Alligator mississippiensis: one gene and its partners. The protein of the gene in region 2 interacts with the protein of the main gene of each other region in a pairwise test. Links are inferred from orthologs where the notes say so. Each region holds a gene or a part of one and is shown on either strand. Other genes may lie near its edges.

The links.
Region 1: the proteins of HOMEZ (region 2) and LNX1 interact in binary tests that used the Homo sapiens proteins (3 or more experiments, as listed by UniProt). The link is inferred for Alligator mississippiensis from reciprocal best matches to the Homo sapiens genes HOMEZ and LNX1.
Region 3: the proteins of HOMEZ (region 2) and MRPL11 interact in binary tests that used the Homo sapiens proteins (3 or more experiments, as listed by UniProt). The two-hybrid records come from large-scale screens. The link is inferred for Alligator mississippiensis from reciprocal best matches to the Homo sapiens genes HOMEZ and MRPL11.
Region 4: the proteins of HOMEZ (region 2) and RPL9 interact in binary tests that used the Homo sapiens proteins (3 or more experiments, as listed by UniProt). The two-hybrid records come from large-scale screens. The link is inferred for Alligator mississippiensis from reciprocal best matches to the Homo sapiens genes HOMEZ and RPL9.

The regions. Positions count from the first base shown.
Region 1 is NC_081825.1:59,244,554-59,252,104, forward strand, and holds the start of LNX1 (E3 ubiquitin-protein ligase LNX), read right to left. Parts: upstream 3,001-7,551; 5' UTR 2,869-3,000; intron 1-2,868.
Region 2 is NC_081830.1:7,415,779-7,423,068, forward strand, and holds the start of HOMEZ (homeobox and leucine zipper protein Homez), read right to left. Parts: upstream 3,019-7,290; 5' UTR 2,634-3,018; intron 2,192-2,633; exon of another isoform or gene 1,255-2,191; intron 1-1,254. Other genes in the region: PPP1R3E (protein phosphatase 1 regulatory subunit 3E), read right to left, coding at 4,059-4,532, 4,960-5,403. UniProt on the Homo sapiens protein: May function as a transcriptional regulator.
Region 3 is NC_081838.1:5,407,244-5,414,765, reverse strand, and holds MRPL11 (large ribosomal subunit protein uL11m), read right to left. Parts: upstream 2,628-7,522; 5' UTR 2,392-2,627; coding exon 2,269-2,391; intron 2,072-2,268; coding exon 1,976-2,071; intron 1,357-1,975; coding exon 1,263-1,356; intron 1,085-1,262; coding exon 925-1,084; intron 758-924; coding exon 661-757; 3' UTR 508-660; downstream 1-507.
Region 4 is NC_081825.1:50,709,415-50,716,976, forward strand, and holds the start of RPL9 (large ribosomal subunit protein uL6), read right to left. Parts: upstream 3,002-7,562; 5' UTR 2,983-3,001; intron 2,751-2,982; 5' UTR 2,750-2,750; coding exon 2,704-2,749; intron 2,626-2,703; coding exon 2,510-2,625; intron 1,301-2,509; coding exon 1,205-1,300; intron 900-1,204; coding exon 767-899; intron 1-766. Other genes in the region: LIAS (lipoyl synthase, mitochondrial), read left to right, coding at 3,174-3,233, 4,447-4,619.

The DNA of each region.
Region 1 (7,551 bases), on a different chromosome or scaffold from region 2:
TGTGCGAATATTTTGGTGAAACAATTATTTTTGCATTTCAAGCTAGTGCAAAATTTGAATGTTGTCATGCTTTCAGTGTGTGGGCATTTTCACCAAAAATGGGCTTATTTGTACCCCACAAAGAGGTTTGCCTACAGGGAGTTCACTGAAATTGATAGGCCTTTGGTCCATGTAATTGATAAGCCATATGGGGTCTACCTAAGCAAATCAGTCTGAAAGACTGGGGCTATATTAAAAGGTAGGCCATGTTTTCAAATTGTCCACGTCTGACAGTATCTCTTTGGATTGCACTCTCAGCAAGATAAGCCTTTTATTATTTGCCTTACTGCATAAAATGACTGCTTGATTTATTATGTATTATGTGCAATGCAATAATTGAATATTCTACAACTTAAGTGAGTATATCATGTCATCCCATATATGTACTGTTTTTGCATTTTGCACAAAAATTTTGTCTTGCAGGAGCGACTGGATACTTCAGACTTTTCACACAGACTATTTCAATTCACTTTTCTGATAAACAAGAACTAAATTGAGCCAGAAACATTTATTTTTCCAGCTCAATACTGCAATAAAGGCCTGCAGTAGTTAACGCCCAAACAAAACTCACAACCCTCTATGAAACAGTGTTCATTTAGTGAAATCGAGGAGGATTCCAAGTGAATAAAAGGAACTGGCAGGAGCAGCAGGAGTATTTTCAGGTGGCAAGCAAAGGCTAACTAATGGACTAGCTTTCCCAGCTTGTTTCAATTTATATTTTTGGAAAATAAATATAGGCTCAGAGTTTTTTGGGTGGATGAGTATAAAATAGTAAATTACTAACAGATTACTTCCTTAAAAAGAATTTTCCAACTCCAGTCTCAGGAAAGAAGTGGATTAGAGTATTTTAGCATAGAACCCCTCACAGGAAAGCATCTTTCCAAATACCTTACATAACCCAAGGATGAATCCTAACATTTCATTTACAGATTATTGCTTTTGGGGTTTTTTTCCAGTACAGATAACGTAAAGTGTTGTTCTTATAAACTATCATGCTAAGTACAGACAGTAAAAAAGCCTCAGGCTAAATCAATTCAATCTTCAAAGGTAGTCTAAGCTACGTAGATTGAAATGAAAAGCAAGTGAACAGACATTCACTTTTGATTCTGGAAATGCAGCAACATGCCTGCAGTGGCCCAAGCCAGAAGCCAAGGGGTGCTAAAGCATACCTTCTTACTTGGCTAGAGCAGACAGCTTGGACCAATGTTAGCCACCAACCCTGCAAGAGGGAGGCGGGTTGCAGGGGAAGTGCAAAGAATCCTGGGATATTGGGGGACTGTGAGTTAACTTGAATCTGGAGGGGATCTGGGACAGAAGTTCAGTAAACCGACTTAACCTAAATCATTTAAGTCTGATACTACATCCATCCAGGTTTACCTTAAACTGGTTTCAACCATTTTAAAGTGATTTATGTGAACTGAACTTCTGTTGTGTTACAGATTTGACCTGGTTTACTATCACTTATACCAGTTTATGTGTAATTTCTGTCCGTAGCCAGAGTTGTCTTGCTACCAGTAGTAACTGCAAGAACCTTACTAAGCAAACAGAAGGATCCCTAGGGAAAGGCTCCATTTTTACAAAGTATCCCACAGTGTAGTTACATGTAAAAACTGATTGGATGATATAGCTCCTACTGAGAACTTGTAAGACCAGATTTGCTATTTTTATTTATGGCTGAATAATTCTGCTAGACATTACTGTAAAGGAAAAGCATGAATTACATCTGTGTTCTGGATACTTTATTTATTTTTAATCGATTCTTATGGATGTTTAAGAAATCTTAGAGGTCAATCAACAAAACCTTTAAGTATTTGCTTAACCTTAGACACCTGCCTATGTCTCTTTGGCTCCAGGTACGTAAGTACTTTGCTGCATATGGATGATTTAAGTTTAAGTTTGTTTAACTGTATTGCTGAATTGGGCCTTAATATTTATATTCCAATATAATTTCAGGACCTGTGAACTCCTATACACATGCTCAGCTTTATGGACGTGAGCAGACGCACTGAAATGAATTCATTATCATGCAAAGGTATGTATCTGAATAAATGTTAACAGAATTGAGACAACTGTCTTTGCCTACAGTATTGCAGCTTGTGGAGGAAAACTTCAGCTGCTTTCAGTTAAAATTTGACTGTAAGACTAACCACATAGAAGACAGTTTGTGCCAAAAGACACCAATCCAAACTGAACTCGTTTTTTAAAAAGGCATTTAAAACCCTGAGACTGGGGGATAGGGCAAGGAAGAATATAGCCCTAATTTACACCAATGGCTTAATGAAATTGCATGAGATGTAAAATGGTGGGGGGAGGGGCAGGAGTGGGGGTGGGTTTACAGAAATTTGCAAACATGCAAACAATTTGTTGAAGCAGTTTTTGTTCAATAACTTTTTCTCCATACACATCAATTCACTTTTAATATTCTTCACCAAAGACTTAAGTTTTCTCAGGAAAAAGAAGAAACAAAACGAGACTAGCTAACAGAATTTAGTGAACTAAGTTTGCTACTATCCTTGGCAGCTAGACTAGTATTTTAAAACCAGTTAGGATAGAATGCAGTAACACTGCAATTAAGTTGCAAGGCCTTCTTTCTTTGAGAATGCATCAGGTTACAGAGGGACTGAACCATAAATGTATGCTGCAGTGAAAATTCACTGCTGTTTTGCTATGGTTTTACTTCATAGTTACAAAGGCCCACACTTAAAAGTTTTGTTTCTAAAAAAGTATAACGCTTGTTCACATGAGTATTTCCTTTCACATTTGCTTCTTCAAACAAGTGAGAGACAATTGAATAATAAAAAGTCAAAACAGAAGATGGTTTATACTTACCTCTCTGTCGTCCTGTGCCTTTGAGTCATATATGGGCTTGTGGGCTGTGACCAGCTTTCTGTAGGTAGAAATCAATGGACTTTAGCAGTTGAACATGCTGCCCAACAACAGAGCATTAAGACTCAATTTGATCTCTATAGGAAGAAAACTTTTATTGGTTGTGGCACACAAGGAAATGGGTGACATCACTAATGGTAGTAAAGAAAAGCCTCACTGCATAAACCTAAGTAATTTAAGGTTCAGCAAACCGCGCCCTACCTGTCATTTATCCTAGAGGCAGGGTGGCTGCACATACCTGCATGCACAGACTGCTTAAACAATTGTTTGCAGCTTTTCCTTTTCCTTTGAACATGCATTCAGCTGCATTTTGAGTTACATTTTCCCTTATTGTGTGACCTTCTTGCCACTAACTCTGAATCAGAGCTGAATTAAAAAGCCTAGAAATTGAATCAGTGGCAAATTATTTTGTCCCGAACTGGTCTGACACTGGCAAAGCTCGCTGAGATCTTTTGTGCCATTTTTAAAATTTCTTTACAGGGCAAAACATAAGACATGATAAGTTCTTAATTTGCAATACCCAGGTGTCAGGAACATCAGGTTGGGTAGGTTTGTTTTTTCCTGCTTTTTACTGAAACACCTCTGGGAGGATTGTGAGCACATTCATTGTGAAAGCCTAAACCTTAACTGCCAGGACAAGTGAGCTGACTTTAAACAAAGACTTCTCTTGTGCATAATGTTAGCCAGTCATTGTAATTACACAGGTGTTAGTAAAAACAAAGACTTTTTAATGAGTTTGAGTAGAAATCATTTCTGTTCCTCAACTTTCACTTCCTCAGCCTTGCAATGTGACCACTTCACTAATTCTCCAGTCATTATAGAGCTCTCAGACAGAGATTGTTCTAATAGAAAAAAAAAGCAGGAAATAAAGTGTAAAAATACCTCATAGACCTTTCAAGCCTTTTTTACATAACAAAGGTACAAAAAACCAAAACAAGCCCTCCCCTCGCTCCATACCCTCTTGTCCCCGCCTCCTCCCCCCCCCCACACAGCTATTCTGCAGGACACTTAATTTGCATGCCTCAGTTTATCTATGTATAAAATAGGATGGGTATCTTTTTACAGGTACATATTTTAATGCCTTTAAAACATTTCAGTATCTGCAGAAGAAAGGTGTAGTGTAGGAACTAAATATTTTTTTAAAAGATATTTTTTTCATGTCTTCATGACTCCATCAGCGATCTGGAATATGGCATAGAGTGCATCCTCAGCAAGTTTGCAGATGACACCAAGCTGGGGGGAGCAGTTGATACAATGGAGGGTAGGGCTAGGATTCAGAGTGACGTAGACAAATTGGAGGACTGAGCTGAAAGAAATCTCATGAGATACAACAAGGAGAAGTGCAAAGTCCTGCGCTTAGGACAGAACAATCCCATGCAGGCTAGGGACTGACTGGTTAAGCAGAAAATATATCTGCAGAAAATGACCTGGGGGATACAGTGGACAATAAGCTGAATATAAGCCAACAGTGTCCTTGTTGCAAAGGAGGCTCACAGTATACTGGGCTGCATTAGCAGGAGTGTTGCCAGCAGATCAAGGGCAGTGATTATTCTCCTCTATTCAGCACTGGTGAGACCACATTTGGAGTACTGTGTTCAGTTTTGGTTCCCCACTAGAGAAAGGATGTAGAGAATTTGGAAAGAATCCAGAGGAGGGCAGTGAAAATGTTTAGAGGACTTGGGCATGTGACATTTAAGGAGAAGCTGAGGGAACTGGGATTATTAGTCTGGAGAATAGAAGACTGAGGGGGGACTTAATAGCAGTCTTCAACTATCTGAAGGGTGGATACAAAGAGAATGGAGCTAGAGCAGTGGTTTTCAACCTTTTTTCATCTGCGGAACCCTAAAATATTTCAAATGGAGGTATAGACTCCTTTGAATTGTAAATGTGGGTATTCACATACTTTTGATTGATCATAGTAATCTTTTGCGGACTGCCTAGACATAGTCTCTGGACCCACAAGGGGCCAGGGACCACAGGTTGAAAACCACTGAGTTAGACTGTTCTGTGGTGATAGATGATAGAGCAAGGAGCAATATCTCAAGCTGCAGCATGGGAAGCTTCAGTTAGATATTAGGGGAAATGTTCTCATTAGGAGGGTAGTAAAGCATTGGAACAAGCTACCCAGAGAGGTTATAGAATCTCCATCCTTGAAGGTTTTTAAGACCCGGGTAGACAAAGCCCTGGCTGGGATGATCTAGTTGGGGATGGTCCTGCTATGAACAGGGGTTGGACTAGATGACCTCCTGAGGTCCCTTTCAACCCTAATTTTCTATGATTTATGAAGTAAAAGCACAATTACTTGAAGTTTTACTAATATGCTAGGGACATAGCACTATAATATTTAGCTTAAAATCAAAGCAAGAACACATATAATTATTGGAATGTGCACTAATTTGCTAGCTTCTATATAAAATTTAAAGAAAAACTAGGCAAAAATAGTTAAAATAGTCAAAAGATATTGTGTCATTAGTTCTGTAGTCACTATAGTTAAATGCATATCTTTGATTCAGATTCATAAAAACAAAATCTAGCCTTGAGTGTCTTGACAGTATCTCCAATACTTTACTGTCAGTTATTTCTACACCTGTGTTAATAATACCACACCTGAGTAAAGGTTTTTATCTAGTGCTAAAAACAAATTTGCAGGGCTATTAAATAGTCATTTCTGGTAATGTCTCTCTTCTAACAGACCATAAAACTGCAGAAGAAAGGATTGTTTGAATAATGAAACATCAAGACCTTTAAAAAGCATCATAGGCAACTGGTAAGGGGGTACATGGGGGTGCACATGCCCCCCCTTATGGGGCTGGTGCCTTCCCTGATGGCCGACACTAATGCTGTAGGCAGGGCTGGTGCCCCCCCATGACAGGGCCGCCTCCAGATTCAGGAGGCACCAGTCACTCATGAAATGGATAAATAGTTATTAACACCTGTGGAGTGGAAAAAGATAAGCAGGAATCAGGGAGATGACAATGAGCCACGAAGTCAATTGACTCTCTCAGCACTGGTTGAATAGAAATGTCACTGCCCTTCCCAACCAGTTGGTTTTAAAGTTTGGGTGGAGAAGAAATTGAGGGAGTAGAGGAGGGTGCAACTGAACCACTGCACCCCACTGGGTCTACCCCCATAAATATTTGTTTTTGAAATTGTTTCCATCAATCCCCTCAACAGAATGCAATAGTTGTATATTATCCAAATTCACAGAGATACTTTCCCCTTTCATTTTAACATTAGATTTCAAATGTGAAAAAGCTCTACACTTGTTCTGGGGGTGATGCATTTGGTCAGATGCCACTGACCAATAACAGCATATGAGTTGAGTAGTTTGTATGGTTCAGGTTTGAACCATATGAAAAGGCAGAAAATAAAAGCAATACCTGTATAGAAAGTGAACTCCTTAGGAGCAAATAGCTGACAGCGCCAGCCAACCATTTTTTGGGTCTCCCTGTAAGAAATAGTTTTGGGGCCCCCTACCCTGAAGAAGCCAGCAGCGGCGTTGACAGTGGGGGTGGGGGGAGGGGTGGTGAGTGGCTGGACGTGAAGCCAGTGGCAGTGAACAGCCGGACGTACACACGCACCCCCCATGAGAAAGTCTGAGTGGGGGAAGGAAAAGGGCCATGTGGGGGAGCGGCATTGCCTGGTGCTGCACCCCAGTCCCGGCCACCTCCCAGCCCCAGCCCTGGCTGCCTCCCAGCTCTGGCTGCACCGGCCTCAGCCCTAGCTGCCTTTTAGCCCTAGCCACACCAGTCCTGACCCTGGAAGCCTCCTAGCCACACTGGCCCTGGACCTGGTTGCCTCAGCTGCCTCCTGGCCCTGGCACCTGTCCCAACTGCCTCCCAGCTGCACTGGCCCAGGCCCCAGCTGCCTCCCCACACCGACTTTCTCCCCACCATGGCTTCTACCCCACCCTGGCCCTGGCTGCCTCCCCACACTGGCCAGGGGTGCCCAGAGCTGGGGCTGAGAGCGGGGTCAGCCTTGGCTGTACTGCCAGACTGGAGTGGATGGAGCCCCTGGGACCCCTGCGCCTGCCCTGCTGCACCCTGTGTCATCCCCAGGAAGAGCCAGTAGCTCCTCCAGAGGCACAGCACTGGGCAGCTAAGGAGGGGGACAGCACATAGCCCCCTTATCTTTGCATGGGTGAGGACAGGCTACAGCTGTGAGCTTGGCACAGCCCTATGTCTCTGTGCCTCACCACTTAGAGAGACGGGGCACAGGTGGTCATCTTGTCCATCCTCCCGGTCAGAGGTTGCAGTAGGCATCACAGCGCCTGCATCAGAGAGGTCAACCTGCGGCTCAGAAGTTGGTGCCATAGCGCAGGATTTGGTTTCCTGGACCACGACCCACACTTCCTGGCAAGGGACTTCCTGGGGTGTGATGGACTTCACCTCTCAGTGAAAGGTTAAAGTCTTTTCTCTAACAGGTTGGCTGATCCCTTACATCGGGCTTTAAACGAGCTCAGATGGGGGACAGGGAGGAAGAAGAAGGAGAACATCAGGAACCTGCAATCCATGGAACAGCCAGCAGAACAGCACAGGTAAGCAATAAGCAGGTAAGCAATAAGGGGCCCATTGGGCATCAGAGCCAGGGGGCAACAAAGGTGCCAGTCACAGGGCTCAAGTGCCT
Region 2 (7,290 bases):
TAAAGGCAATAAATACCCACTAATTAAACATTTTTTTAAAGAGAGGCCAATAAGTTGACCAGAGCCTAATTAGAGACAGCCATTACTCCGGATGCTAATTACCTGGAGAAATAAAACAAAAAGCCCTGGATTTGTTTATCTCTAATCAGAGACAACTAAAGAAATGAATGAGAAGTGATGGCTCATATGATCTGACCCCCTAACACAAAAATTGAGCTGGTAATTGAATTATTTGCCAAAAGCAGCTCCTAAAGACCCATTACCAAGCTGGTTGATTGTCCAAGAATGGCCTGTTTAATTAAAGGGGTAATGCCAGAGGAACCTGGGGGCCAGGAGGTTTGGGCACCTCCTTGCTCATGTTTGGGACATCAGACGAGCTGTTCATGCTGCGGGAACTGGCCTGTGGGAAACCTGGGCACCAGTGGTGATGAGTTGGTGGGCATAGCTTGGTCTCTTCAGCCCATCAGTGAGGGACAGACTTGATCCCGACTCAACAAGGGGAAAGCAATCAAGGTTCCTTCAAGATCCAGCCATCGTCAAGGCTTGATCTCTTCCGCTGGATCTCTTTGGCCCATCAACCAAGATCAAGGGATTGACTCGATCTTGACCCAATGTGGGGAAGTGCCAAGGTTCCTTCAAGATCTAACCAAGGCCTGATGGACGACAGCTAGATGTGGGCACTAACTGCTAGAAGATATCACCAGGTGAGGGACCCTTGGACGTTGTTCCACTGCCTCCCTGGGAGAAAACCCCAGCAACCATCACTACCACCTGGCCTTCATCCCCCAATGAAGCTATCAAACATCATTCAATTGCTGTTGGCAACACCCTAGGTTTGCCAACTTGGTTCTCCTCATGGTCATAGGTGAGGCTGACCAACTACCACCATCTGACCCTCTGCCAATCCCTACCGTTGGGCAACATCTCTCCTCACTGCTTGTTCCCTATAGCACAGCTTCCATCTGATGAATGTTGCTGCTGTCACCACTGCCATCTTGTGGCTGCCTCTGGCACTCAAGAAGCCACATTGGGATCCAACTCCTATCTTGGCAGCAATCCCCATTAAGATGGCTCCCACTTGAGCAAGGAACAGAACAGGAGGTAATAGGCATATATTGCCTTTAGAAGTCTCAGCCAGACCAACCACCCCTTGGCCTTCACCTCCCCGCCCCCTCCAAAACAAAGCTATTGAGCAACGTCTAACCACCATTGGCAGCATCCTATGGGCATCGATACAGGTATCCTCGTGCTCACCAGGCAAGTGAAGCTGGTCCATCACCACCATCCAACCCCTCTGTCTACCCCCATGGTTGGGCTCGGTGATGCCTCTGTCCCGCGACGCTCTCCGTCACTGCTCAGTTGCCATCTTGTGGCTGCTCCCCAGCACTCAAGAGGCCATCTTGGGAGCCGGCCACCATCTTGGGAATGATTCCTGCGAAGATGGCTCTCTCTTGAGCAAGGAATGGGACAGGAAATAATGGGCATGCAGTAATGGGACATGGCCTTCAGAAGGCCTGGCCACCCCAACTGTCCGTGCAGACAGGTCAGCTGGCCCCAATGAGTTTGACCCCCTGCTCTAGGCTGATACAAGTCCTCTAGCTCTCCTAGAAAGGAGGAGTGGGAGGCCTACAATACACCGAAGAACCATGTTCCCGTCTTCTTCCCGTCCCCAATACTCATTAGCTTAACTGGGAACACTGAGAAGCCGCTCAAACACAGAGGCCTTCATGAGGAGAAGACACAGAGGAATCTGGCCTCCAAGAACTGACCCCAAGACCAATTGTGATGGGGAACTCGGCTGTGCCATGCTCCAGATTGGTCAGTGGCAGGAGCATTCAAGGGTTGAAGGGTGCCAACCCAAAGAGCTGGATGGCTTAGCTCCGCCACCATGAGGGCCAAAGATCTGGTGGATCCCTTCTAAGCAAACAGAGCCATGGGATTCGATTCTGCTCTAGGCCAATTCTCTGTCTTGCCAGCGAACCCGGTGGTGGCTCCTCTTGGTGCCAGACCCACCCAAGGGAGCCATGGGGAACCACACGCTGGATGTGGGCACTGCCCCTCCTGTGGGGAAGGTGCCTGCCCTGCTGCCACCCCCAAGGGCCCAGAGTTGCAGGTGACCTGGGTTGGTCTAGCCCATTGGGTCCCCAACATCCCACTATCAACCCCCCAGCAGGGAGGGAACCCAGGCATCTGGGCTCCCAGCACCACCTTCACCCCCCCCCCCCCCCCCGCCAAAACAGGGAGAGAACCCAGGCATCCGGGCTCCCAGCAGCCCCCTCCTCTTCTCTCTTCAAACAGAAAGGGAACCCAGGCATCAGGGCTACCAGCAAACCCTGCCTTCCCCCCCAAACTAGGAGAGCACCGTTGTGTGCAGACTCTCAGCAACCACACCCCCACAAACTGGGACACAACCTGGGCTTCCAGCCCGCCCCACTCCTCCCTCCCCAACCCAAACAGAGAGGGGACCCAGGTGTCCCCCCCGCCGTGCCAGGACCAGGAGAGAACCCAGGCGTCCGGGCTCCCAGCCGCCGCCCCCCCCATCAGCCCCTCCTCCCCCGATCCAAATCAGGTGCACGCCCCCCACCCCCAGGGACCCCCAAACGCGACCCCGCCCCTGCCCCTCCCCCACTCACCGGCCCCCTCCTCCGACCCCAGTTTCCCCCCAAGTTTGGGACTTTCCGCCCGATGCAGCCTGGGAAATGGACGCGCGGGGGCGGGGCCAGCCCGGCGCTGGCCCTTTAAGGGACCCCGGACGCCTGGGTTCCAGCTGGAGCGGCTCGGATGCGTGGGTTCCTCCCTGCAGCCTCTAGGGGCGCGGGGGGGCCCGGGACGCCCGGGGTCTCTTCCAGCCGGGGAGGGGGCTGGGACGCCTGGGTCCTCTCCCAGCTCCGACACACAAAGGGGGGGAGAGGGCGGCGGCCATTGGCTGGGCCAGAGCTCGAGCCACCCCGGATGTCCCCGCGAGGGGGAGGGGAGGCGGCCCGGACGCCTAGGTTCCCGTGGGGGGAGCGGGGTCTAGGAGGTGAAAGGGCGGGGGGAGGAGCTAGGAACCCGGGCGCCAGGGTTCCCTTCATCCCTCCCCCTTTTGTTTCTGCAGCTGTGCCCTGGCTTCCTGGTGGGGGGAGCTGCAGGTCGGGAGTGAGGGGCACCAGCAGGGCTAGGGGGGAACAGCCTCCAGGCCTCCATTTCTCTTTGCCCCTTGCTCGATTCGCCTCCTAACCCCCCCCCCCCCCGCACCCAGACCTCTGGGGTCATGTGGGAAAACAGAGGCAGCGCAATAGTTATGACTGGAGATGGGGCTGGGGTCCATCACGTGTCACCCGTGGTAGCTCTGCACCCTTGCCCCTCCGGCTGTGGCTGGGAGCTCGATGCCTGGGTTCTCTCCTCCCCCCCACAGGGGTCCCAGAGACACCCCGGGCAGCCCCGCGCTGTGGGTAGACAGATGAACACTAGGGACACACCAGCTTGGCCAGTCTAGACTTCATTGTCTTTATTGTCAGGCAGTGCGGCCTCCATGGCAGTGGTGCACCCATGCCCAGCATCCTCCATGCAGGGGTGCCTCTGGTCTGGTGGGAGGAGCCCCTGGTGGCTATGCCCCCCAGGTGTAGCTAGCCCCGCCCTCAGGGGCAGATGGGGAGTCCTGCCCCCCATCAGGCCATAGCTGCGGGGGGGAGGAGGGGGTGCCTCTGGGCAGAGTGTATTTCAGGGCACTTTCTTGTGGTGCAGCTGGGGGGCCTGGCTGGGGATGGGGGGCCTGGCTGGGACCTGAGATCCTAGGACCAAGGCCAGTGTTCCTGGCTGGCGGAGTGGGGTGTAGTGGAGGGGTCACGGGCCTCGTGGGATCATGGGGAGGGGGACCCACCTGGGGTGTGCTGGGATGCCCTGGCTGGGATGTGCAGGGCTGTGGCTGGAGGCTGGGGCCAGGGTCCCATCTGGGGCCGTGAGCCTGCAGGAGAGGCGGGGTGTGGAGGGTGCAGGTTAAGAGTCGCGGGGCCAAGACCAGTGGTCTGGGTGAGGGCCATGAGCTGGGTGGAGGTCCCGGAGGGACCGGGGCGGTGTTAGGCAAAGCGGCTCCAGTCAGGAAGGGGCAGGGGACTAGGGGGCAGCTCACGGGGGGAGCCAGCAAGTGGCACGGTAGGGCGCAGGGCATAGTTGTGGCCTTCATTGTTGTCCCAGAACTCGGCGCCAGCAGTACGGTAGCGCAGGGCAAACTCCAGGGTGGCACCAGGCGGTGGCAGGGGCAGGCGGAAGGCAAAGCGGTCAGCACCAGGTGCGGCGGGTGGGCAGGCACCAGGGGGGGGTGGCGCAGGGCCGGCGTAGGCGGCTGGGGCCTCGCGCTTGCTGGCCCAGCCATCCCATGTGTAGCGCACGCTCACCCGCTTTTCATAGGCCAGGTCCAGCACGCGTAGTGTCCCCGCCACGCCCACCCCCTCTGCCCGTGCCCCTTCCAGTGCCACCGCCTGCGCTGCCAGCCGTGCCCCCACCTCTGCCTCTGCTGCTGCCCATGCCCACGGCGCTGCCCCACTGCTTGCCTGCCGGGGAGAGAGACAGTGGTCAGCAGCGAATGGGTGGGCACACTGCCCCCATCGCCTGTAGCCACACACTTCACCCCCAATGGCCCTGCCCCCAGCCTGTAGGCCCACCCCACAGTTGCCTCATAGCCCCATCCCCAGCACCCTTATAGCCCTTCCCCCAGCCTGTAGGTCCGCTCCAGCAGCATCCCATAGCCCACCCCCCAGCCTGTAGCCACAGGCCCCCCATAGCCCTGTCCTAACACACTCACAGCTCCATCCCCAGCCTGTAGCCCCACACCTGGCATCCCATAGCCCCCCTGCTCCTGGCCCCCACAGCCTGTAGCCTCACCCCCAGCCCCCTGCCATTCCCCCCACCTCTCCAGTCTGTAGCCCCACCCCCTAGCAATCCCATAGCTCCACCCCAGCCTGTTGCCCCACCCCTCACCTTGATGTAGGGCAGGCAGGGTGGGAAGTGGCTGAGGGAGTCCCGCCGTAGCTGGGCCTGGACGCGCTCGGGCACCTCGGGCAGCTGGGCTGGCCAGAACTGCCGCACACTGGCCAGCTCCAGCCCCAGTGCGTCGGCAAATCGTACCCGCTTGCGCGCCCCGGGGCTGCGTGCCCGCCCCGAGCCCCCCCCAGCCCCCGCCCCTGGCCCGGGTGGGGCAGAGTGAGCCCGACGGCTCTGGCGGGTGCGGGTCCGGCGGGTACGGAGCCGGGGGGCACGGGGCCGGGTGGAGCGGCGCGAGCGTCCCTCGGGCTCCGAGTCCTCCGAGTCGTCAGCCAGGCTGGGCCGGGCGGTGCGGTAGTAGGCGCGCTCGTACAGCCCCGCGATGTAGCTCAGGTTGCGCGGGATGTCACCCCGTGGCGGTGGCGGGGGGGTGCCCGCCATGGCCCCCTCTGTCGCTTGCTGGGCACCCTCCCTCCTTCCTGCGCTCACTCTGCTGGGTGTTGTGTCCTTCTACTCCTCTGTCACAGGTCTGCCACCTTCCCTCCTTCCAAGTCTTGCTTTGCCAGGCTGTGCCCCTCTATCCCTCCGTCACCGTCTTCCCCGTTCAATTCTTCCGAACCTGTCACTCCACCAGGCTCTGTGTGCTCCCGTTCATCCGTCTCTGGCCTGCCACGTTCCCTCCCAAACCTCTCACTCCATCAGGCTCTGTGCGCTCCTATTCATCTGTCACAGCCTGCCACATTCCCTCCTTCCAAACCTTCTTGCCCCAGGCCCCGCCTCCTTCTGTTCCTCCGTCCCTGGCCAGACACACTCTCTTCTTCCGAAGGTCTTGCTTCAGCAGGCTCCGTGTCCTATCCTTCCATCACCAGCCTGGCATGTTCCCTCCTTCCCAGCCCTTCACTCCACCTGGGCTCCGTGTCCTCCCACGCTCGCTCTTTCCAGCCAGCCCAGCTTTAGCCCTCCATCAGAGCTCTGTCCTGTGGTCTCTCTCTCCACCACGCTGCCTCCCGCACTCCCTTCTTCAAGTTCTCTCTGTACCTGGGGCCTGTCTTGTTCTTTCTTTCCAGCTTCACAAAAGCTGTTTCTCCGTCATGCAATCTTCCACCTTCCGGCGTGCCTGGGTCTACCTCTCTGGCTGGGTCTGTCTTGTCTCTCTCCGTCAGGCAGGTGTCCACATTTCCTTCCCCTGAGCCACCCGTTACTCTCCCTATTGCTCCATTACATGGTCTTCCACATTCCCTGCTTTCCCAGAGCCCAGTGCTGTCCCTTCAGCAAGGCTCTGCCTCATATCTCTCCATCAGATGGTCTTTCACCTTTCCTTCCAACGGGCTTGGCTCTGTTCCTCTGTCTGGGCCTGTCTTTTTGTCACACCGTCTTCCTCCTGGTCTCTGTCCGTCTGAGCGCTGCCTGGTTCTGTCTCTGTCCCTCCGCCCTCTGTCTTCTCCTCTGCCAGGGCTCCCGTCTCCTGTCTCTCCCTCTGTGTGATGTATTGCTCCGCCTGGCCCTGAATCTCGATCTCCCTTTCCACCAACAGGCTTTCTCCTTCCCTTTCTCTTCTGCCTCTTCTGACCCATCTGTGCCAGCTCCTCCCTCCCTCCTTTATTCTCTTTCTCCTCCTGCCTTTCTTTCAACATCCCTCCATCCCAGCAGCCTGCAAGTCTACTTGGGGATCACCTCTCCACCCTAGGCCCTGATCAGCCAGCCCTGTGGAGGAATGGGGAGGGAGCAGAGGGCAGCAGGGAGCTTCCCCAGAGCATGAAGGGTTAAGGCAGAAGGGACCCAGGCATCCAGGCAAGCCTGGAACAGCAAGTCCCTGCCAGGCAAAAGGCCAGCAACCAGGATCAATAATAAAGGAGGTGAAATAGCTAATGGAAGCCCAGAACTAGCTTGGGACTGCCCTGCCCCCCCGCCAACAAACCTGGGCTGCAGGTCAGGAGTGCGGGGTACCAGGGTGGTGCAGTGGGCTGCAGGTTGGGAGTGAGGGGCACCCATAGGCTGCCATTCAGGAGTGAAGGGCAACAGCAGGGCTGTCGGCTAGGAGTGAGGGGCACCATGTAGACACAGTGCCCATATTGTTGTGGGCCAGCCGGGTTAAGAGGCTAACGAGCTTCTGGAGTCATTAATCATGCAAAGAAGATGCTGGTGCATGAATAATGAATGAGATGCCCAGGCTGCAGCCTTCTCCGGCTACCGCACCCTCCCAGTTGGGGGTAGGGCAGTGCCTGCTCACGCCAAGGGCAGTCATGTTGGTCCCCTGGCCATGCCCACAGCAACCACATTGCCTCCATGCAGTGGTGAGGGAGCAGGGCCCTACCCCTCAGGCTGTCT
Region 3 (7,522 bases), on a different chromosome or scaffold from region 2:
ACATATGCTTGCACGTGTGCACACACCACCCTGCCAACTTGCACACACATGCTCACGCCACCCACTATGCCTGCATGTGCCTCCTCATATGTTCACACCCAACTCCACATGGACACACATGGGTGAACGCACCCAAGAGGGCCTGTCCCACCACTATGGGTGGCCAGCACAGCTCCCTCCTCTCCCCCTTGCAGCTCTGAATCACCCAGGCACCGGGCCCCACTCCGGGAGAGCCCCAACCGCCTGCCCAGCCCTAGGAGCAGGCACCAGCCCTGGTCCCCATGACCCTTGGCCCTGCCTCTCCTCTTGGCCACTCCCTCCATGCCAGCCCCTTGCTCAGCCCTCTGCCCCCCAAACATTTGTCCCCCGCATTTTCTCCAACCCCTCCATGTCCCCCTCTCCCCAAGCCACTTCCTCCACAGCAGCTACTTGCCCTGCCCCCTAGCTCACCAGCCCCGCCCCCTCCACCTCTGGCTTCTCCGGCAGATTCACTCACAGGAGCCGGGGAAGGTCTCAAGCGTTTATTTTATCAGCTTCACCATTGACCAGCCAGGCCAAGGGGGACAGGGCTTGCACTGGCACCTCCGGAGCCAGGGGAGACCCCAGGTCCCCCAGTTCCCAGGCCCCGCAACCTGGTGGAGAACCCAGGGGTCCGAGCAGTCACTTGGCAGCCTCAGCCTCCTTCAGGGCCGCAGCCTGGGCTGCCAGCTCGTCTGCCCGGCGCTGGCGGAAGGTGGTGCACTCCTCCACGGTGAGCCTGGCGGGAAGGCAGCATGTCAGGGACCGAAGTGTCCAGCAGTTGCCCCCCCCGCCCCACCCAGAAACAAGGTACTGAGGCTGCTGGCCCACCCCAAAGTACCCACGCAACTGGGCTCCCAGCACTGCCCCTCTGGTCCCCCAGAACCCAGGCGTCCAGGGGCTCACCGGGGCACGACGCGCAGGCCGAGGGAGCGGGCTGAGCCCAGCAGCGAGCGCACCACGTCCTCCAGGCCCTTCCCACGCAGCTTGAACCCGGGGTCCTCAATCTTCACCTGCGCAATCTCATAGAGCTGCGACAGCGACACCACCCCTGCCTCCTCGTGCCCTGGGGAGGTGAGGGGACATCATCAGCCTGGGACCTCCCCTCCCCCTCACGGAGGGGGTGTCAGCCTGAGACCCCCTCACATCCATGGGTGAGGAGCAGCCTCCACCTCTGCATGCCCTTGGGGGGCGGGATGGGGAATGGCCAGCCTCCCCCCACCCCCATTATACGCCCCCCTCACCGGGCTGTGACGCGCCCTTCTCGATGCCAGCGGCCGCAAGCAGGAAGTAGGAGGTCGTGGGGGGGTGGATGTTCAGGTCATAGGTGCGGTCCGGCTGCAGGGATCACTAGACACCGTCAGCTCCTGAACACCACCCCCCACTCCCATCTCCCAAATGCCCCCTTCCCCCAGATGCCTCTGCAACAGCCCCCACCCTGAGCAGACACCCCCCATGTCCTGCCCCAGCCCTCCCCAAGCCCTGTGGGACCCCTCCACATCCAGCCCAGCCCTCACAGCATCTGCTCCTCGCCCCCAGGGAACCCAAGTGTCTGGCCCCTGCCCCAAGCCCACCTTGCCCCAGGGTTTTTGTGGGTGACTGGGGGGGGGGGTGTCAAGGCAACAGGGTGCCCCATAACCGCAATGCCTGGGGGAAAGCGGGGGGGGGTGTCTTAGAGAAGACCTGGTGCCTGAGAGGAGCTGCCAGGGCTGAGAGAGGTGTCTGGGGGCTGTGGCGGGGGTCTGCATAGAAAAGCACTGAAGGCACCTAGGACGGACCTGGGGGCTCCAGAGTAGATGTAGGGCCCAGGGGCAGAGCAGGGCTGGTGGGGGGGGGCACCGCCAGAGATGTGGGTGGGTCTGAGCGGGGCCGCAGGGGTGTGTGGCGGGGACTGGGGCACACAGCGGTGCTGGGGGGCGGGGGCTGAGGGCCACCAGGGTCCCGACTGCGGCAGCACCTTGATGTGGATGCGCACAGGCAGGGGGACGCCGGTCTTGATGTCCTTGGTTCGGTCGTTGAAGTCCTTGCAGAAGGCGCCAATGGGGATCCCGTGCTGGGGGGGGGGGGGGGGGTCAGGGGCGGCTGGACCCCCCAGAACCGCCCCCCCGCCTGGGCCCAGCTCTTCCCCAGAGCTGGCTGCATCCAAGGGACCCCCCCTCAGCTGGAGGGCACGCACGGTGCTGGCTCCAGCCCTCCCCCACGGGCCGCAGGCGTCCCTCCCTCCCTGCCCCGGGACAGGGCCCGGCTCACCTGGCCCAGGACGGGGCCCAGCGGGGGGCCGGGCTGCGCCTGCCCCGCGCCCAGGATCATTCTCATGCGGTTGCTGGGAACCACCCGCTTCACGGACCGCTTCACCACGGCCGAGCGCAACATGGCGCGGCGGCGGCGGCGGGCGGGCGGGCGGGAGCGAGGCGCACCACCGAGCCCGGCCCGCGCCCGGACTGACCAGGGGGCAAGGACACACGTGCAGCGCGCGGGGATGCCGGGGGCCGCGGGGCACGCCGGGAGCTGTAGTCAACGACGTCCGCAGCCGCCGAGACGCCGCGGAGTGACGTCACCAGGCGCGAGACAGGCCGGGAACTGTAGTTCTTCGTACGGTGCACGACGTTGCCGCCCCCGGGTCCTGCTGGGAGAGGTGGTTCTTTCCCGGAGTCAGAACGTCATCAACTCCAGAAGGGCGCCCTCCAAGCCGCGGTGCATGCTGGGAGCTGCAGTCCTCCCCGCCCCACCCGGGGCCTGCCGGGATACGTTATCCACCCCCCGCGAGGCCCTGATGCATGCTGGGATACTTGCCCCCTCCACTGACCGCGCGGGGCATGCTGGGAGGTCTTTCCTACTCTATCCCCGGTGCATTTTGGGATGGGTGGGTGGATGGACTGATGGGTGGACCCCCCCCGCGACCCGCTGCAGCCCGGGGCATTGTGGGATGGATTGGCCTCCCCGGCTCCGGTGCATGCTGGGAGGTGTAGTCTCTGCCCCTCATCCCGGGATTCCCGGGGTCCAGCCCCAGCGCCGCCCCGTTACTGTAATGTTCCGAGTGTAAGGGGGTGGTGGTGCACACACATGTATTCCCAGGGACACACGTGTGCACGCGCAAAGGGCCACATGTACACACGCACCCAGGCCTGTCAGGCTCATGTATGAACACAGACACATACATGAACACATGCTATGCCAACACCCACGGGCACAGGCGTCTATACGTGCATGCTGCTAAGCACGCTCGCCTGCCAGGCACACACTTGCACATACGCATTTGAACACGCACACACACGTGCAGGCCTCTGCTCACAGGTATGAATATATATGCATATGACAAGAAACACGTGAAACTCGGTATTCATATAATCAGATGCTCACACATGTGCGCCACTATGTGTGTGTGTGAGGGGGTGTGTACAAGAGCCATAGGAAGACCGTGGGTGCCCCAGCACCTGCTCTGTGCACACGCATGTGCTGTGCTCTGTGAGCTACATGTGTTGATCCATGTGCACCCACCTGCTCCGTGTGTGTGTGTGTGTGTGTGTGTGTGTGTGTGTGTGTGTGTGGGGCTGAGGCACGTGCTGCATGTGTGTGCTGCAGGCAGGCACACACACGTGCCACATGTCCACATACCGCCACACACGTGCATACACAGGTGCAAGAGGCTCCGTGTGTAAAACACGTTTGCTCTAGGCCTGCCTCTTCTCTGGGCTGGGGACGTGTGTGCAAGTGCACGCGTGTGCCCGGCGTGTGCGAGGCCAGGTGGAGCAGCCGGGACAGAGCAGCACCCCCCCCAAGCAGCAGCACAGAGAGACCGGACTCAGTGCGGACACGGGACAGCTAGGGGGCGAGTGCGGGGCACCGGCGGGGATGGCCGGTGGGGGGCAGGGTCGGCAGTGCGGGGCACCGGCAGGGCTGGTGGGGGCAGGGTCGGCAGTGCGGGGCACCGGCGGGGCTGGGGCAGGCAGGGTCGGGAGTCCGGGGCACCGGCGGGGATGGGGGGCGGGCAGGGGCGGGAGTGCGGGTCACCGGCGGGGCTGGGGCAGGCAGGGTCGGGAGTCCGGGGCACCGGCGGGGATGGGGGGCGGGCAGGGGCGGGAGTGCGGGTCACCGGCGGGGCTGGGGCAGGCAGGGTCGGGAGTGCGGGGCACCGGCGGGGATGGGTCGGGGGGGGCAGGGTCGGGAGTGTGGGGCACCGGCAGGGCTGGGGGAGGCAGGGTCGGGAATGCGGGGCACCGGCAGGGCTGTCCCGGACGCCTGGGCTCTCAGGCCTGTGCGCGAGCAGGGGCGTGGCTGTGGGGGTCGCATGAGGACAGGGCCACGGGGCGGGGGGCTGTGCGCAGTGACTCCCCAGCCCTGTTCCCTGGAGCCCGTGGAAGGCCGCGCAGGGGAGCGTGGGAGCCCGGAAGCCTGGATCCGGTCCCTGCGGGCCGGGGGGGGATGGGAGCAAGGGGGTTTGGGGGCCCGGACTCCTGGGTTCTCGGGGGGGGGGGTGACGCCCCCAGCTGCGGCCGGGCCGGACTGGACTGAGCTCATCCATGACTCACCTTCCCGGGGGCCCGCGGCACCGCCCGCCCGGCCGGGAGGGAACCCAGGCGTCCGGGCCCGCCCCTGCCCTGACCCTTGGCCCGGGCTCCTCCCGCAGCAAGAGGGAACCCAGGCGTCCCGGCTTGGAGCGCGCGCCCGCCCGCCCGCCGAGCTCACTGCGGGGGAACGCAGGCGTCCGGCTCTTGCCCCCTTCGTGTCTGTGCTGCGCACGGGTGGGAGTCTGCGTGTCCCGGACGCCTGGGTTCCGAGCCCCGTGCCCCGGATCTTTGCAGCCTGCCCCCCGTGCTTGGGCCCCGAGGCCTGGGGGCAGCTGGGCAGAGGGAGCGTGGTCCTGGGCAGAGACCCCAGACCAGCTGGGGAGGCCGGATCTCGCCCCCCCCCCCCCCGCGACCGGGGACCCGCAAGAGCCACCCCCCCCCACATGCCCACACACACACACACACACACACACACACACACACACACACACACACCCGACCCGCTCCTGTCCAGGCCACACTCGCCCCCAGTCCAACCCCTGAGGGCCAGGGGCACCTCCATGCGGGGTTGAGAGCCTCCAGCTCTGTGGGGGGGCTGGGAGTGCCCTTCTCTCGTGACATGCAGCCCCCTGAGCTCCTCAGACCCCCTGGGTGCCCCTCACTCCCGACCCGCAGCCCCTGCCCCCCTCTGCTGGGGGTCCCTGTTTGTTTTGGCTGCCGCTGCAGACCCGGCGGCCCCCCGCCCCACTTCCTGCCCCCTCCCCCGCAGTCCGAGAGCGAGCTCAGCTTACAGAGCCGGGGCTGCGGGTCAGGAGCGAGGGGCACCGGCGCTTCATATGCACACAGCCATGTGCACACACAGGGGCATACAAACACACACACACACACATCATCAGACGCATGCCCACAGCCAGGGTCTAAGGGGCGCGCGTGCACACACACATTGCATATGGCCCAGATTGGACAGCGCACACTCACGCTCAGTGCTCAAAGACACATGCAGGCCCTGTGTATACACTTACACATGCCCTGCACGCAGAACTGGAACCCAGGCGGAACCAGACATGCAGCATGCACACAGACACACACACGTGCACATTGAACAGAGGCATTCAGGGCACACACACGGAACCCAGGCATCTGTGAAACGTGCATTCACACACGCACGCACACAAACGCACCCGTGCACACGCACACAGAACCCAAGGTCCAGGACACACACACGCAGCTGTTGCCTGGTGCGTTCCTTGCACTCCCGTGACCCAGCCCCAGGAACAAACAAGGCGTGCGAGTGTGTGTGTGTGTGTGTGCGCGCGCCTGTGTGTGATCACGTGTTTCCACCAGGCCTGCCAGGCTGCCTGCCTGGGGCTCCCTGCACATGGGTGTGAGCCCCCACCCCCTCCCAGCCCTGGAGAGGACCCAGGAGTCCGGGCTCCCCCGACCCCTCCGCCCACTACCCCCCAGGCCCCATGGCCCCCCGGCCTCCGGGCCCCCCGGCCCCTGCTCTCCCCCACAGCCGCCCCGTTCCCAGAACTAGAGTGAACCCAGGCGTCCAGGCGGGCTCCCCCCGCCCCAGCTGTTTGCATCAGCCCGCGTCTGTTTCCAGTTTGAGCTAATGCGGGACTGAGCCAGAGACGCCCCCCTCCCCTCGGGGGCACCTTAACCCCTGCGGGTCGGGAGTGGGGGGCATGGGGGGGCAAGGGCACTGCGGATTAGGAGTGAGGGGCACAGGCAGGGCGAGGCGGGGCAGGGGCTGCAGGTCGGGAGTGGGGGGCAAGGGGAGGGGGGCTGGACAGGGGATGCAGATCGGGAGTGAGGGGCACCAGCAGCTCCAGGGGGGTCCGCGGTTGGGGGGGGGTGGTCACCGCAGGGGGTTTCCAGGCCCCGGGATCTTTAATTACCTCCTAATTACAGAGCTGGAGACAAACAACCCAGCCCAGCACTGGCTCTCACCCCGGCCCCACGGAGCGGGAGGGAACCCGGGCGGCCGGGCCCCCCACCCTGTCCCAGAGCCCGGGCGGGCGGGCCTCCCAGCCCTACCTCACCGGCCCCCACCCCCCTCCCAGGGGCCGGGGTGGAACCCAAGGTCAGGAGGGGGCAGGGGGCAGCCCCCCCAAGAAACACTGGGGCTCGTGCGTGAAGGTCCCTTTATTACACAGACGCCCCCCAGCGCCTGGACGAGTCCATGCTGCCCCGGGGGGGGTCCATTCACATGGGGGGGGGCTTCATCCCCTCCCCGGGAGAGTCCATTCCAATCCGGAGCGGGGTGCTCACTTCTACTGTGGGAGACCCCCTGGGACGAGTCCATTCTGTCCAACGGGGGGGAGGGGGGGTCGATTCACTTCGTGGGGGGGCTCACCTCCCCTAGGAGACTCCATTCTGCCCGGGGGTGGGGGTGGGGGGCAATCACTCGCTTGGGACACTCCATTCACCCCAGCGAGGGGGCTCTTACCCCCTGGGAGAGTCCATTCTGCCCCATCGCGGGGGCATTCACCCCTAGGAGAGTCCATTCTGCCCGGGGGGGAAGCTTTCGCTCCCACGGGAGAGTCCATTCACTGCAGGGAGAGTCCATTTTGCCCCGGGGGGTGTTCACCCCTGGGGGGGCTTTGACCATCCTGGAAGAGGCCATTCATGCGGGGGGGGGGGTCCGTCCAGCCTGCCAGAGTCCATTTACCCCCGCCGCACCCCCCCGGGGGGGGTCCTTGCTCTTTCTGCAGCAGCTCTGTGGGACGGGGTCGTGTCCGTGTCCCTGCGTGGGTCCCATGGGGGGGCGCTCTGGGCCCCTTTCTGCCACCCCGTAGCCCCCCATTCACCCGGGGGGTGGGCAGACACGGCTGGGAGCTCAAGGGGGAGCCCGGGGGAGATCAGGGGGTCCCAGCCAGATGTGGCGGGGGGCTCCAGGGGGGACCCAGCCGGGCGGGGAGCTCAGGTGGGGTGTAGTTGCGTGGGAGCCCGGGAGGTCCCAGCCAGGCTGGGGGGTCAAAGGTGGGTGGGGA
Region 4 (7,562 bases), on a different chromosome or scaffold from region 2:
TAAATCCACATTAGCAAACCCTGAATGAGCCAGTATGAGTGATTTCATTTACATTAGCTTGAGAAGTTGTCCCCCACACATTCTAACATTTAAAAAAAGCAAATGTTATTTACTGTTCTCCAAAACCCAGACTAATATTCTATGAAATTGGATTTTACATCTTTTTAGAAATTTTAAACTCTGTATGAAAAAACAGTCTCTTTTCTATCTTCAGAGAAGCTCAGGCAGACGCATTATAATTACTGATGAATCCATTTGTTCAGTAGAATCACCCTAAAGTGCCAAAAGCCACAAACAGGATATTTATCTTCATTTTCACCACTGTTACCCAGACTAAATGTGTACGCATTTATGTGTGTAGTGAAGAACGTTCATCACAAAGCTAAAAACAGGGAAAAGAAAACTTCTGAAGCTTGTCATGCATGCCTGGGAGAACAAACAAACAAAACAAGACTTAAAAATAAGTTAATTAATTAATTAATTAAAAAAAAAAATTTAAAAATCAAGAATTCAGAAATGCTTTAATGCACATTACTACACCCTGAAAAAAGAACCGGAGTCATCTTGCTGATGAAATATTGAGCCTTCGTAGCTCACTGAAAATATTTACCTTCATCAGGACTAGTCTGTTAAATAAATCTCTATTATGGTGTTAACAGCTTTTAATCTCATTAGGAACAGCTTTGTTCCAAAAACCAGAACACCAAATTAGTGCCCAAAACACCACATAAGGTTTGCTCAGCAACACTAACACGAACACACTCACCTGGTCTCATGCGCACCCTGCGGATATACTTTTCTCCCAGGAAGTTACGGATTTCCACAAGTGAGCCATTCTCCTGTATAACTACGTTGATGGGGAAGTGAGCGTACACTGACCTCATCTTGTAACGAAAGCCCTAGGAATTAATCAAATTTAGGATTTTAACAATAACACTCAAATTGCGTAACGATACGGTTAAGAATTGCCAAATAATTCTACTTTAGACATGGTTATCATTTTAGTTTTAGTTGTTCAACACTACCTGCTGAATATAAAGTACATGGTTTATGTGTACACCTAAAGTTCTCTCAATTACCACATGTATGCAGGAAAAAAAAAAAAGTTAAAATTTTTTTTGGAACACACAATTCTCCTTTCAGAAAAAAGTTGCCTAGTAGCATGAAGGAAACAACAAATAATTTACCTCAAAATAAGACTTACCAGTGTGACACCCTTTATCATATTTTGCACATGACTGCAAATTGTGCGAACTGTTGCCAGCTCCTTTCTGTTACCCCACCATTTGTCAACACGTAGCTATAATAGAAGTTTAAGAAGTCGTCAGTTGAAATTCTTATTCTTTCTAGAAAACATCTGTTCTTAATTCAGAAGAGCTGAACTACAGAACTGAACAGCCTCAAAATAACCTAGAAAAAAAAACTGCTCCATCTTTCTACAAAAGGACTTCAAAGCACTGAAATGCAACTCTGGTGCTCACCATTATATTTTGCCTTTCACTATAAATTTGGTCAAATCAGTTAATTGCTGTGGCCAGTTCTGTAACAATGACATGTTAACAGTTACCACCAAAGGGCTTGCAAAAATGATACTGATACAGCTACTTTAAGATGCTCCGATGAACAATATTCGTGCAAGTATTAAACACTGAACAGGCAAAAGCAAACCTCTGTTCGGTCACCTTTTACTGAAAGACAAGCAAACAAGTTACTTCTTTTTCTGTAAACTTTCAAATAGCCAACAACCTGGGGAAGTCAATAGTAGTGCTTAGTTTTGATCTTGTCCAGTGGCAAAAATGCTCAAGTGCTTTAAAAATACTTGTGCAATACAAACAGCACACAGCTGCCATTGCCACATTCAGAAAAAGCACTGCTGTCCTAAACAACCAAGTCTTCTGGGATAAACGATGCTCCCAGACCATCTTGCCCAAGAAGAACTTAAACAAGAAATCAGACTTCCTATGAGAAGTGGCCCATTTTATTTTATATCTAGGCTCCTTACAAGTGAGCACCAAATGCACCCAAAAACTGAACTTCAAAGCCTGGCACCTCATACACGAGACACATCTGTATCTTCAAAGTTCTGCCTTCAGCCCCATTACTTTCTCAGCTTCTGTTATGCTGGAGCCCTCGCTCTGTTCAGGGTGGCAGTTCTCAGCCTTTTTGGTTGGGAGGCCACCCCTCCGCATAAAATTTCTATGACTTAAGCACTGCAATACAGTCAATTTGCTTTTTAAATCGGGGCCACTCATGTCCCTGAAAAGCTGCCAGGCTGCGGGAGTGGGGGACAAGCTGGGCAAGGACAAGCCTGAGCCGGGGAGTTATCCATCTCTTCGGGGAGTGCTTCAGAGGAGCTGGTGGCTACTGAGCACCCCGACGGCTCCGCGCTGCAGTGAACCGGGTCCCTTTCCCAAGATGCACAAGGGGCCCTGAGCACTCCTGCAAAGCAACCCCACAGACCTGGTTGGCCTCGACCCCCACCACCCCACCCCACCCCTGGGGCACGCACCTTCTTGCGCTTCTTGCCCAGCAGTGACAGCTCCACGTTGATGTGGTTGAAGTCGCGGCGCAGAGACCCGCGCGGGCCCTTCACGATCACGGTGCGGCCCTTCAGGGACACGTCCACTGCAAGAGACGGGGGTGAGTGGGGCCGGGCCGGGCCGGGCCGGGCCAGGCCGGCGGGGGGTAAGGGGCAGCACGTACCTTTCTCGGGGATGTCCACGGCCTGGTTGCTGAGGATGGTCTTCATCCTGCGGGGACGACACAGCGGTCACGCGTTACGCACCCGCCTGGGCCCGCCGGGGAGGAGGGGAGGAAAGGGCGCTGCCTCGGGCCCTCCGAGCCTGGCCGGGTCAGGCGCGCGGCGGAGGGGAGCGCGGGGCGATCGTAGGGGCGGGGCTGCCCGAGCCGGGGCGGGGGCGCGCGAGCCGCGCAGGGATCTGCGCGCCGCGGATGGCAGCGGATAGTGGCGGGGGCCCTTACCTGGCGGCCGCTGCAGAGGAAAGGGGGGACGTCGTGCGTCATCACGTACTTGTAGCCGGCCGCAGCGGGCTGACGTCACGGCGCACGGCAGCCCGCTCGCAGGCAAGAGGAATTGAGCGCCGCTTAGTAGAAGGACCCCGGCCTTGGGTCAGGCGGAAGCAGGGGCGCGCCGAGCTGGTCGAGTGGCGGCGATGTCTGCGCTGCTGCGGGGTCGCTGCTGCCGTGGGGCCGCCGCGCTGAGGCCACCGCAGGTGCGGAGCCCCTGCTCCCCCAGGCCGGGCGTCCCCGTGCCCCTACCCCCTCCTTCCCCCGCACGGCGTGGGTGCAGGTCGTAGCTGCCCCGCTACGTCCCCGGGCCGGGGGCTGCCCAGCGGGCGTGCGCAGCACGGGGGGGAAACGTGAGCTGCTCTGTCCCGCCTCTGCCCCCGGCCCCCCCTCCCCCGCGCCTGGGGCGGCAGGCCAGCGCGGAGACCCGCAGCAGCGGCTCCGGGGCGTCGTGGGACCCTTTCCCCACAGTTTCACCCAGCTCTTAGCCCCGTGCTGCGTCTTTCCTCCCGTGCTCGGAGGGATCCTGCCGTCAAGGCCTCCACAGACGTTGGGTTGTTCACGGAGGGTCCTGTCGCAGGGTGTTACCTGGCTGCAGGTTAAGACTTTCCCACCACCCGTCATTAGCTTTCAGAGCTAACTGACAACAGCAGTTTTCGTCTTGGAAGGTGGACAGGGCCGGTCTTTGCATCTGCGCTCTGTCTGTAGCATTTCTGACTTGAAAACACCATGCGGTTGTTCATATTTCTGTAGCAGGGGTGGGCAAAATGCATCCCGCGGCCCGCCAGGCCATTCTATCCAGCCCGCGAAGTCCCTAAAATTTTTAGAAAATTAATATTTATCTGCCCTTGGCTGCCTGTTATGCAGACCTCAATGGCTTGTCAAATCTCAGGCGGAGGGCCGCTTACTGAAATAATTGCCTGCCCTTATTTATAGACTAGATTTGTGGGCTTTGTAGGATGTTTCCTTTGGCTGAGGCATCTTGTTTTTATAATCCCCCCCCCCCCCCCCCCCCCCCCCAGGGTCTGATCCTTGTTTTGATTTTCACATCTTGAAACTGATGGGTGGAGCCAGGTCTATGTCCCCTTTAAAAGGACTGAGCCCAGAAAGATTTATACCCTCAGTCTGCTCATAGGAGGTACATATAGCCTGGCTAGCCTTGCATATTCTTGGACTTGAAAACAAGAGCCAAGTTTTACCACTCGATGTGTACTCAGCACTCCCTTTGAGAGTTGTGCACAGTCATCCATTGAATTTGACCTTAAATTAGTACATAAGAAAGTACCTGCTCCAAAAATATTCGTTTTCTGGCCTCTCTGTAAAAAAGTCCTTTTAATTGTCATAGCGTACGAGCATTTATGTAATGTATACTGTAGCACGTTAGTGGTAAAATAAATAATATAGTTACACTCCCCATAGGTGCTTGGAACCCAAGTATGTAGCCAGGACAGAGCGTCAAGTTCTTTGCCAGATGAAAAAAAGGAATTTCTGAAAAATGGACCTGATTTGCAAGAATTTGTATCTGGGGATTTTTCAGACAAGAGCACATGGGCTGATTATAAAGGCAACGTAAAGCGTGAGAAGGGAGAAAGGTAATTGCAGTTTCAAACATGTATATTGTACTCTCATTTAGGATCATGTTTTCTTCAATACAAGACACAACTCTGTCATCTGTAAAAGTATCTGTTAGAGGTGCATAGGTGTATCAGCTGGCTATCGGATCGGCAGCGATAAAAGGAGAAATGACGTTATCAGCTTTTACACTTCGTAGCCAATAATTTTTTGGTCTTTCTAGCCGATAATTATGGCCGTGTGCCCAGAGCATCCTGGCAAGCATAGTCTAGTTCCCTGTGCCCCACTGCTGGCCCAAGCCTGCAGCATACTACAGGTCCTGGTGTTGGCTACAAATGTCCAACTCGGGATCCTTAAAATTCTAGTTTATTAGGCGGATTGAAATACTGTAATGAGTTAAATCATAAACCTTGGGTCTGGTACCCACACACACGCACATGCACACACATACACACACACAGTAGCAAGCTACAGAGTCAGGTACACCTATCCTACTAGCGCTGGAGTCTGCCGTCGATGGCCAGTAGAGGCTTCTTTCAGCGTGGTGTTATCATCCAGAAGGGGGTCGCCGGCTGGTCCTTCTGGCTGGAGAGGTCGGGTGCTGGTCAAGTTGGAGATCAAGAGGGCGCCACTGAGGGTTACTTTTTGCTGCCTTTTATCTGTCCTTGGCAGACTTTGGTGACTCCCCAGTTTTCAGGTTTGCCCAATCCAGGGGTCATTGACCCTCGTGGGACTTCTCCCTCCCCCCCGGTGGCTACTGGATGGCATCTGTCAGCCCCAGGGGTCATCCGCATGTACATGCAGGTTTGGGAGTCTGTTGATGAATTTTGAATAGGGCTCTGGGAGTGGTCGATCTGGAGATATTTAGCCCAAAAGTTGGTCCCCGGCATTGATTAACTCAGGCCAGGGCTTCTAGCCCTTGATCAGTGATGTTTAGAGATTTCCCGGTTGTTACATTGTCTTCTATTGAATTCTTCCCTTGGTTGATCTGGAGTTTCCCAGGTGTTAATTTCTGTCTGCTACCATGTTACACATTGAATCACTGATTCACTTGCTCTTTCAGGGGCCAGCCTGATACAGGGAAGGACAGTTTGATTCCTGCCCTTGTTAACATTGTTACAATGTATAACTTACTTATGAAACTAAATACATTCAGTTGAAATATGAAAGATGAGGAGTATAAATATAAGCTACAAATGTCATGGCACACAAATAGATAAAAATACCAAACTACAAGGGGAGATACAAAATGCACACGTACAAATTTTAAAACACAATTCCTTATCTTAAAGTGAAAGAGAGAGGAAGGAAGAAAAGGTAGAAAAAGAGAAATATATCCAGAGAGGGGAAAGCAAATGCAGGCAAGAGGAAAAGGGGGCTTTCTGCTACACTGGTGAGCGGTGGAAGGAGCTAGCACCAGGGAGTGGTCACAGGGCACTCTGCTCAGCAATGAAGGGACTGTTACCAGCTCCTGCTGCCACTGCCATGCAAATGCTGTACGCACAGCAGGGGCCTGAGTGCCAGGCCTGCCGCAGAGACGTTTGGCTGTGTGGGAGGGGTAAGGTGCCTCGTGAGGGATGTTCTGCTCCACTGAACACCAGGTGCCTTTGCAAAAGTAGCTTCTCCCTGCTGGCCATGGGAGCTCAGCTGCAGAGGGCCTGCCAGTACTGAGGCAACAGCGTGCTGTGGGGTTCTAAATACACCCAGCACCGCTGTTTGCTCAAAGGTCCAACCCACCCACCCAGGATGGCAGCGTAGGGTGTGCAGGGAGTGGGGCTGCAGGTAGGAGCTGTGGCCAAGGGGATGATGTGCAAGGGAATAAGGTGAAGGCTGGAGCAGTCAGGAGGTGTGCGTGTGTGTGTGTGTGTGTTATAAGTGCAAAACAAACAAAAAAGGGTTTATTTATGTCAGTACTTTAAAGTGCCTTGCACTATTACTACATATTGGTTATTCGATTGGCATTGGTCAATATGGTTGGTTAATCATCGGCTATTGGCATTGGCCAATAAATCTTTATTGGTGCACCCCTAATATCTGTGTGAATTTTGTTGTTTTGTCAAGTTTTGGAGCATTGCAATATCTATTTCATGCTTTGTTCTGAAAGGAATCATCATTTTAACTAAATGCAACATGGTTACACGGGCAGTCCTCAGTCCTCATACTTATGACACAATTGGTTCCTGAAAACCGCATCTTAAGTCAAAATGTTGTAACTCAGAACCAATTTTCTCATAAGAAACAGTGTTATAAATGGGGGATTGGTTCTTGAACCAAGGCCCGATACCCTATTTTCACCAACAATACCCCAGAATTTTGTACTCGATCAATTATAGATGAGTAATATAGCTACATTAATGTATTTATATTGTAAATAGGAATCATATTGATTTGGAAGGACTTCTTTGAGGTGACTTCACCGGACTTTTTGAAGGGCTCTTGGTTGGACTTTTTGAAGGGTTTTTGGCTGGAGTCTTCTCAGGAGTCTTAGCTGCAGGTTTTTCTGGAGTCTTGTCCGCTTTCTTAAAGAAAGTGTCCAAGGAAATTTGGACAGATGTTCTCCAGGGAGATGGGCGACACAGCGAACTTGTTCACTGGCTAGGTGTCGCATCGGATCAAGCGTTGTAAGTTGAAAATGACATCATAAAGTTGAAACAGGGTGTGAATTTATAAATGTTGTAAGTGCAAAACGTTGTAAGTCGAGGACTGCCTGTAATATGTTTTCAACAGTGTATTGGATTAATTTTCAGTATACAAGTAAAAAAAAAATATTTAAAGCATACAAGAACAGTGTATTTTTATTTTTAATGCTCAAAAGAATAGGAGTGAATGGAGCTAGATCTGTTTTAAAGGAGTCTCTTGATGTATAAAGTGTTGAAGATTCACAGATTAAAATTGATCACTTATAGCTTTGGCTAATGTTATTTTAAAATGTTATTTAAATATGTAGATCTGAATGTATCTGT